2 linked regions of the Nothobranchius furzeri genome follow. The protein of the gene in region 1 interacts with the protein of each later gene in a biochemical or structural test. Links are inferred from orthologs where the notes say so. Each region holds a gene or a part of one and is shown in the gene's direction. Other genes may lie near its edges.

The links.
Region 2: the proteins of rlim (region 1) and lhx3 form a complex in vitro, tested with the Homo sapiens proteins (2 studies listed by BioGRID). The link is inferred for Nothobranchius furzeri from reciprocal best matches to the Homo sapiens genes RLIM and LHX3.

The regions. Positions count from the first base shown.
Region 1 is NC_091741.1:98,396,474-98,400,760, forward strand, and holds the start of rlim (E3 ubiquitin-protein ligase RLIM), read left to right. Parts: upstream 1-1,252; 5' UTR 1,253-1,384; intron 1,385-3,131; 5' UTR 3,132-3,190; coding exon 3,191-3,359; intron 3,360-4,287. UniProt on the Homo sapiens protein: E3 ubiquitin-protein ligase.
Region 2 is NC_091746.1:57,050,222-57,053,286, forward strand, and holds the end of lhx3 (LIM/homeobox protein Lhx3), read left to right. Parts: intron 1-513; coding exon 514-947; 3' UTR 948-2,339; downstream 2,340-3,065. UniProt on the Homo sapiens protein: Transcription factor.

The DNA.
Region 1 (4,287 bases):
AATTAAATAAACGAAGAAAAAAAAGTGGGCTCGACTCCGTCCATCTTTGCGACCCCTTGCACGGATGGATAATGGCATTGCATGTCGCCACACCGACGCAGAAGCATAAACTAGGCTTTAGGATTCTACAACCCCCCCAAGGTGCTTCACAAAACAATCAGTCATTCACCCTTTCACTCACACACGCTGTTGGGGATGAACTACAATGTAGCCACAGCTGCCCTGGGGTGCACTGACAGAGGCAAACCCTGCTGAACACTGGTGCCACTGGTACTTCCAATCACCACCAGCAGGCAAGGTAGTCAGAGCCAGGATCTAACCTGCAGTCTTCCAATCACTGGACATCCCTCTCTACTTCCATGCTCACATATACAGTATTCCTCTTGCATCAAATCCATTACCCCAAAAACTAAAACATGTCAAGAAATGTATATATATATATATATATATATATATATATATATATATATATATATATATATATATATATATACACACACATACATACAAGATTATTATGTAAGCCCATTCCCACCATGCAACAATCATTATTACAATTACTTTATATCAAAGTGGCGGGAATGGGCTTCCATAATAATAGCATTGCTCTAAAAATACCAATGTTTCAATTTATATAACAAAGGACTTCACAGTCACCATGCACGAATATGACACTTGGGTAAAGTCTTCATAGATTTAGAACCACATTGTGTCATAAGCTGTCAAAAAACAAGTTGTTCTTTTTTAGATTTCTCTATCATCTCTAGAGAAAGCAACACGATTAACCCTAGGCTAGACAAGATGACATAATAATATTTTATACAGACAGCAAAAAAGTCGCTTCATTAATCTGGGTAAGTCTAAAAAGCTAAATCAGACAAATATCAATCGGTTCCTCTGCATATTCCTGCATACAGTATATGTTCTGGCCACACTGTGACGCTACAACTGAAAGCAGCACCCATCTTCGAAACTAACGTCCGTCGCTCTTGCTTTCCTATGTTGATTCAAATATCAATGTGCCCTGTGTTTCGTCTTTAAGGCAACAGGTTTTGAGCCATTACATACAATTTTAGATTTTATATAAGTGGAAACGTTTTAATAAATGCAATAATACTCTAATTAATTAATTAACCATCGCATTTGTCTTTATTGTGGTAGCAGAGCTAGACGTACATTTGAAATGTCTGCTAGTGAGTGGTCTGCGTGAGCCTAGAAGACTAAGCTGAGGGTAAAATCGTCTCAAAGCTCTAGTTCCGGAAGATCATAACAGCTCTCACAAGAAAGAAAATGGAATCCTGAGGTAGCAGTTAGTTAATTCGATCCTTGTTGCTGAGAATTAAAAAAAAACTGTTTCACCCCGGCATATTACGTCGCCGAGCAGGTAAAGTATAAGTGGTTTGGTTACAGTAAACATATGTTGTCGTTAACTTTACTTTCTTACATAGTACATTTGATGTTCACTCTGTTTAGATGCGAACGCTGAACGTCACTGGTTGACGTCGAATGCTAAGTTAGCTTGCGGTTATGCTAATATTAGCTTAATGGATGTTCGGCAGCACCATTTAACAACAGACTAAAAAGTATACTTCTGATATAGACAATCAAATATATTTACAAAAGAAGTAAAACGGCCACTAAGGTATTTATTTGTTTACTGGCCGTTAACAGTAGAGACCATTGCTAACTACTCGGCTATTTTGGGGTATGTTAAATAGCATTTATTAGCCATTAGCTTTCAGCAAAAAATCCAGATAATCAGATTCAATCACTTCTTGTTAGCTCTTCTTGACATTTACACACATTCGATCATCTTTTACGTAACCGAGGTTGCGGCATTATTGTCCTCATTCAGGACAAATCAGGAATGTAAACGAAAAAAAAAACGACCGCTAGAAGACGTAAGCTAAACCGTACGATGCCATTTTGTTTTTAACTCGACTTTGACCAACATATTGATTCGCGACAAGACTTTTTATCCAACACATCCTCAAATGATAGTTTTTATTAACAGATGCTGATACGTGTTTATTGTACCTAGATGTCAGTTTGCGGTCAGAGATCAGGTGACTCAGCTTGTTTTTCAGTTTTTGTTGTAAGGCCACCTGAGCATGTCAGTGTTCTTGTAACCGTGAGCTGTGCTAACATTATCTTCATGTTCTGCACCGGTGCTGAGTGCTGTATGGTACGGCATGACGTTGTGACATACAGTCAAATAATGAACTCATAAATTTACTGTTTTATATATAAACTATAAAACTCTTCCTAGTCAAATTTAAAGATTTGTAAGACAAGACTTTAAAACCATAGTTCAGGATAAAGTGGGAAAAACATAAGAGCATTCCTTAATACTTAATAAATGTTTAGTTTAACAATCATTGGCTCATCTTGACATGCATGGCAGATATTTAGATTTCAAATGGTCTGAACCATGATTTTTACATAACCAGGAGTGATTTCTGCTCTGAAGATAGTTTAATACAATACTACATTACCATAGTTTCTCACACTTTGCTTAACTTTTCATTAATAATTATGTTGTATACATATTCTATAGATGCATAAAGATGCTATAGAAAACATTTTCATGTGCTTTTGCTTGAATTTTTTTCATATATAATCCAGAGCTGGTCGATTACTTTCTGGGTTTTCAAGGATCGTTAAAACAAAATGAGCCGATTATTTGCTCCTCCTTAATGGTTTACTCTAACATTGCTCAGTGTTGCAAATCAAGCGCACCTCCCACTACAGTGTTGCCAACTTTGCAGTATTGTCGCCATTTCTAACAACTTTCCAGACCACCTTAATGACTGTTTTTTTTCTTAAAAGTGCCTAGCAAAACCAAGCAACATTTCTGATAAATAACAGTTCATCTATATGACTTACAAGTTTCATTACACTACTGTACACACTACCCTGCAACACCACTTCGACTCCCAACTGGAGAAATTTGTCTCAAAACAAAAGTCCTGAAAACAACAATGTTTAAAAGCCGCAAGTAATGTTCAATAAATTTGTGATCTCAACGCTAATTGAAGATTGTTAAATAATCAAGACCTCAGTTTTAATTTCATCATGATAATAATTTTTGCCATAAGTGATCAGCCCTAATATCCTGTAATTTGTTGTAGCATCTGGATCTATCTGAACTTCTGAGAACGCCCTGTAGACCACCCTCCCTTCAAAATCAATGGAAGGGTCTGACAATGCTGAGCGAGGCGGCAGTGACCAGCCAGAGTCACAACGCAGGAGGCAGCTGGACCGCCTGGATAGAGAGGAAGCTTTCTACCAGTTTGTCAACAATCTCAGTGATGAGGACTATCGTCTTATGAGAGATAACAACCTTTTAGGCAATCCAGGTGAGAAACTGTTTAAATTAGAAACACACGTCGTGGACTTGTGGAATAATGTGTTTTATTTTTTTGCTTTCTTATTCCACACTTTTCTAAATTAATTGTCCCTCCAAATCTGCCATAAAAAATTAATTTGTTTTGTTTCTGAAGGCTACTTCTTTGCTCCATTCTATATGTAAATTAGGGATGCAACTGAATTTCGGCCACCAAAATTTTTGGCCCAAAAATGACCCTAAAGTGCATTTTTGGTTATCGAACGAAAGAAAAACAATCACCATAATTGGCCATCAGTTTTAAAGTCATCTTTCTCCACCCTCATGTGGCTATTTGTTCTTTTCTTCTTAAAAATAGTACATTCTGATTTCAACAGTAAAGTTTTCCCCTTTTAGTAATGCTGTTTTATTCCGATCGCTGTTCATATCAACCATGACGCACGTTTTCTTTTGGTTTCACATTTAGCGCATCTACCTGCTACATCAGTCAGTGTTAGCAGTGATTTTAGCATCCTTTCTACACCCACCATGAGCTGAACATGGTGAAATGAGCTTGGGATTGTGTGTGTGATGCATGTTTATACTCATGAAGCACACAGACGCTTGTTGCTGCGAGCAGCAGCAACGTCACTTACTTCCTCACTGAACGAGTGATAATCTGCATCAGAGGGTGAATATTACTCTTCAGAATCAGTCAGACATTAACAGACAAAGAGCTTTGTCAACAATGAACAGACCTGTCTGTATTGTAAATTTCTTTAATATATTATAATATTCACCCTCTGTGCGCTCTGCTCGTCTCCTCCCTTCTCAGTCAGGAGCCTCCTGATGGGGGCATTTTTAAACTCTATAAAATCTAGAAATTTCAATACAAACACCCAAACGTGTTGCTCAGACTGAAGTCACAAATCTCTATCTTCTGGTGTAAAGTAATAACTTCA
Region 2 (3,065 bases), on another chromosome or scaffold:
CATTTGAAATAATGATTCCTTTAATATCAAAAATGTTGTTGCAGGACAAGAAAATTTTCAGAAAGGGAGACTTAGCAAATTTTTCATGTTTTTAAACCATTTTCTTGAGCCAGTATGTGCTAAAATTATCCTTTACAGGGTTAATGAAAGGCCACCCAGCCCCTGCAGACGGGTGGCCGCTCTGTTGGGACTTAGAAAAAATGGAGCTGTCATACCTGGCGCTACAGTCTGGTTCCAGCACGTTTCCTGCATGTTTTAGATCATGAACACAGCTGTTTTGTTTCATTTGGTGATTAATCACCCCTGTAGACTCTAAGAAAGGCTGGGGAGACATGTCAGCTGTTAAATTAAGGTGTTAAAAGGACGAACGTATAGCGAGGAGATTGGTTTTGCAGTTGGTTCTACAAATGGACACTAGGGGGTGCTAAAAGTAAGCCAAAACTGCCCGGTCTCTCTTTAAATCACTTTGTTTATAGAGGCAATTTGACTAACATCTCTTCATCTGTCCTGCAGATGAGCCCCCCATGTCGGAGCTCGGCCATAACAACAGCATCTACAGCAGCCTGAGTGAGTCCTCTCCTGCTATGGGGGGCCGTCAAGGGGGCAACAACCATGGCTCCTTCCCTTTGGAACATGGCGTACTTCCCTCCCAAGACCAGTTCCACGACATCCGGTCCAGCAGCCCCTACGGCCTCCCCCAGTCTCCTGGGTCACTCCAGACACTCCCCAGGCACCAGCCTCTCATTTCCACCATTGTTTACCCCGACTCTGGCCTCTCCATCCTGACCCAGAGCGGTGGGCCTGGCATCAACCCCGGCGTCAGAGGCTCTATGGGAGCGGCAAACGGCCCCAGCTCCGACCTATCCACCGGCAGCAGCGGTGGGTACCCAGATTTCCCTGCCAGTCCTGCATCCTGGTTAGATGAGGTGGACCATGGGCAGTTTTGATTGGTCCAAAGATACTTGACTATTTCCTTTGCTTTATTTTCTGTGTCTTCTGTTCGTCAAGAAATGGAAAATTGATTCAAAGAACTGTGGCTTTGTAATCCCAGAAATATCCAATTCATTTATTACTTGCCATCTTCATGAAGGCAATGAAGAACATGTCCCCCCATTCAAGACATAAACTATAACAAAACACACCACTATACGCTGTTTTTACCAACTTCAAAACCATTTTCATTTTTCGGACTGTTTTCTGTTCACATCTCATCCTGCAGGTGTTTTATTTCCCCCTCAGCATGTTCAGGTCTTAAATGTCTGGTTGTTGCCAAATGTCTATATATATAAATATATATCATTGTGGAGACTTTATTTTTATACAAACCCCTTGTTGAACGTACATGTATGAAAGAACCAGGGCATGAGAACTTTGTACATTCTTGAACCGGGAATTAGGAGAAAATGTAGATGTCTTAACAAACGGTACCTAGGGGTCCAATGACTACTATGCATTTGTGTGTTCTCAGATGTGTCTTGTTTGTTTTCTTGTACTGGAAACCACCTCAAAAAAGAACCGTAGCAGAGTGGGATGGGGGGAGGGTGTGGTGTATATGTTTGTTTACGTGGAAGATGTTTTATGTATTATTTATTCCCTCTGGTAATGATGGTGATTCATAATTAAATGGCAGGACTTTAATAAATTTGCCACCTAAGTTAATGTGGAGTTTAATTATTTTATTTTCTCCAGTTGGTAAAATATGTCCAAAATAATCTAAAAGAGCCTCTGAAATCGCTTCAGGTTTTAGAAATTGATCGTGAAATTTTTATTGGAGCAATCACAAACAAGGGTTTGTGGTTGCATCACTATGGAGGAATTCTGACCCTTTCTTTGCGGAATGGTTTGATTTCATCCGCACTGGAGGGTTTTCCAGCGTGAACAGGTTGTTGAAGGTGACAGGCCAGATTCTCTCCCTCACCATTTTCTACTTGTTGTTCCATCAATTACAGAAAGTCTTCTAGGGTCCTGAAGTAGCAAAGCAGCCCCAGACCATCACACTACCACCACCATGTTTGACTGTTAGTATGTTTTTTTTTTTTTACATGCTGTTAGTTTACACCGGATGAAACAGGACACACACTTATCAAATAGTCCCACTTGTGTCTCATCAGTCCACGGCATATTTCCCCAAAAGTCTCGGGGATCTTGTCTTCTATCTGATCAGCAGAGGTTCTCACCTTAGAGAAGTCATTTTTGCCACCTTCTGTTTCTTTCATTGAGCCATGACCTCTGACCTTAACCCTACCTAAGTGAGGCCTCCAGTACGTTTGATGTTCTGGGTTCTTTGTTTTTTGTTGTTTAGTTTCATAACATTTTATTAAAAGTGATGTTCACGAGAAGTACTTGTTCTTTTTTTCACATGCATGCAGAGCATAAAAATACATGAAAATATAGTCTTCAACTCCTTTTTCCTCCATTGGCTCCAGAAAGAAAATAGACCGGAAAAACGCGCGGGTCAGAAAAAGCCAGCTCACACCTTTGCTTGCAAAGTCTGTTGTTCATTTAGCCTCCAGGAGAGAGCAGAGAACATCTCGGCTAGTGGAAGCTAACTGGAAGCTTCTCAACAACATGGTGGAACACGTTCAGGCTTGTGTTATTTGTGGAGATTGAACATTGTAGTATTTCACTCGTGAAAGAATGGGGAACGAAGGCAACAGGACAGTTGTGTTGCTGTTAGCCAATCAGAGGTGAGATGTTCGTATATCATGAATATTAACAAGACTCCAAATCCTGCTGTTTCCTGCCCCCCACTCTTAGTTCCACTTCCTCTTACACTGATGACGACTAAATAAAGGCATTTATTTATACTAGAGTCCACAGCAGATTTATTGGAATAACAAGTGTATGACTTCTCTGAAACTTGACTTAACTTGTTGCTTTTTGAGATGTTTTAACTAATTCATGTTTTCAGATAGGTTCTGTTGATGTGATGTCATAAATCTACACAACTGTCACTAATCAGGCCTGGGTTTGGCTACTGAAATTTACCTCAACTTTGCAAGTAAAGTTAAAGTTAAGTTAAAGTCCCATTAGTTGTCACACACACTGATGTGTGTGCGAAATTT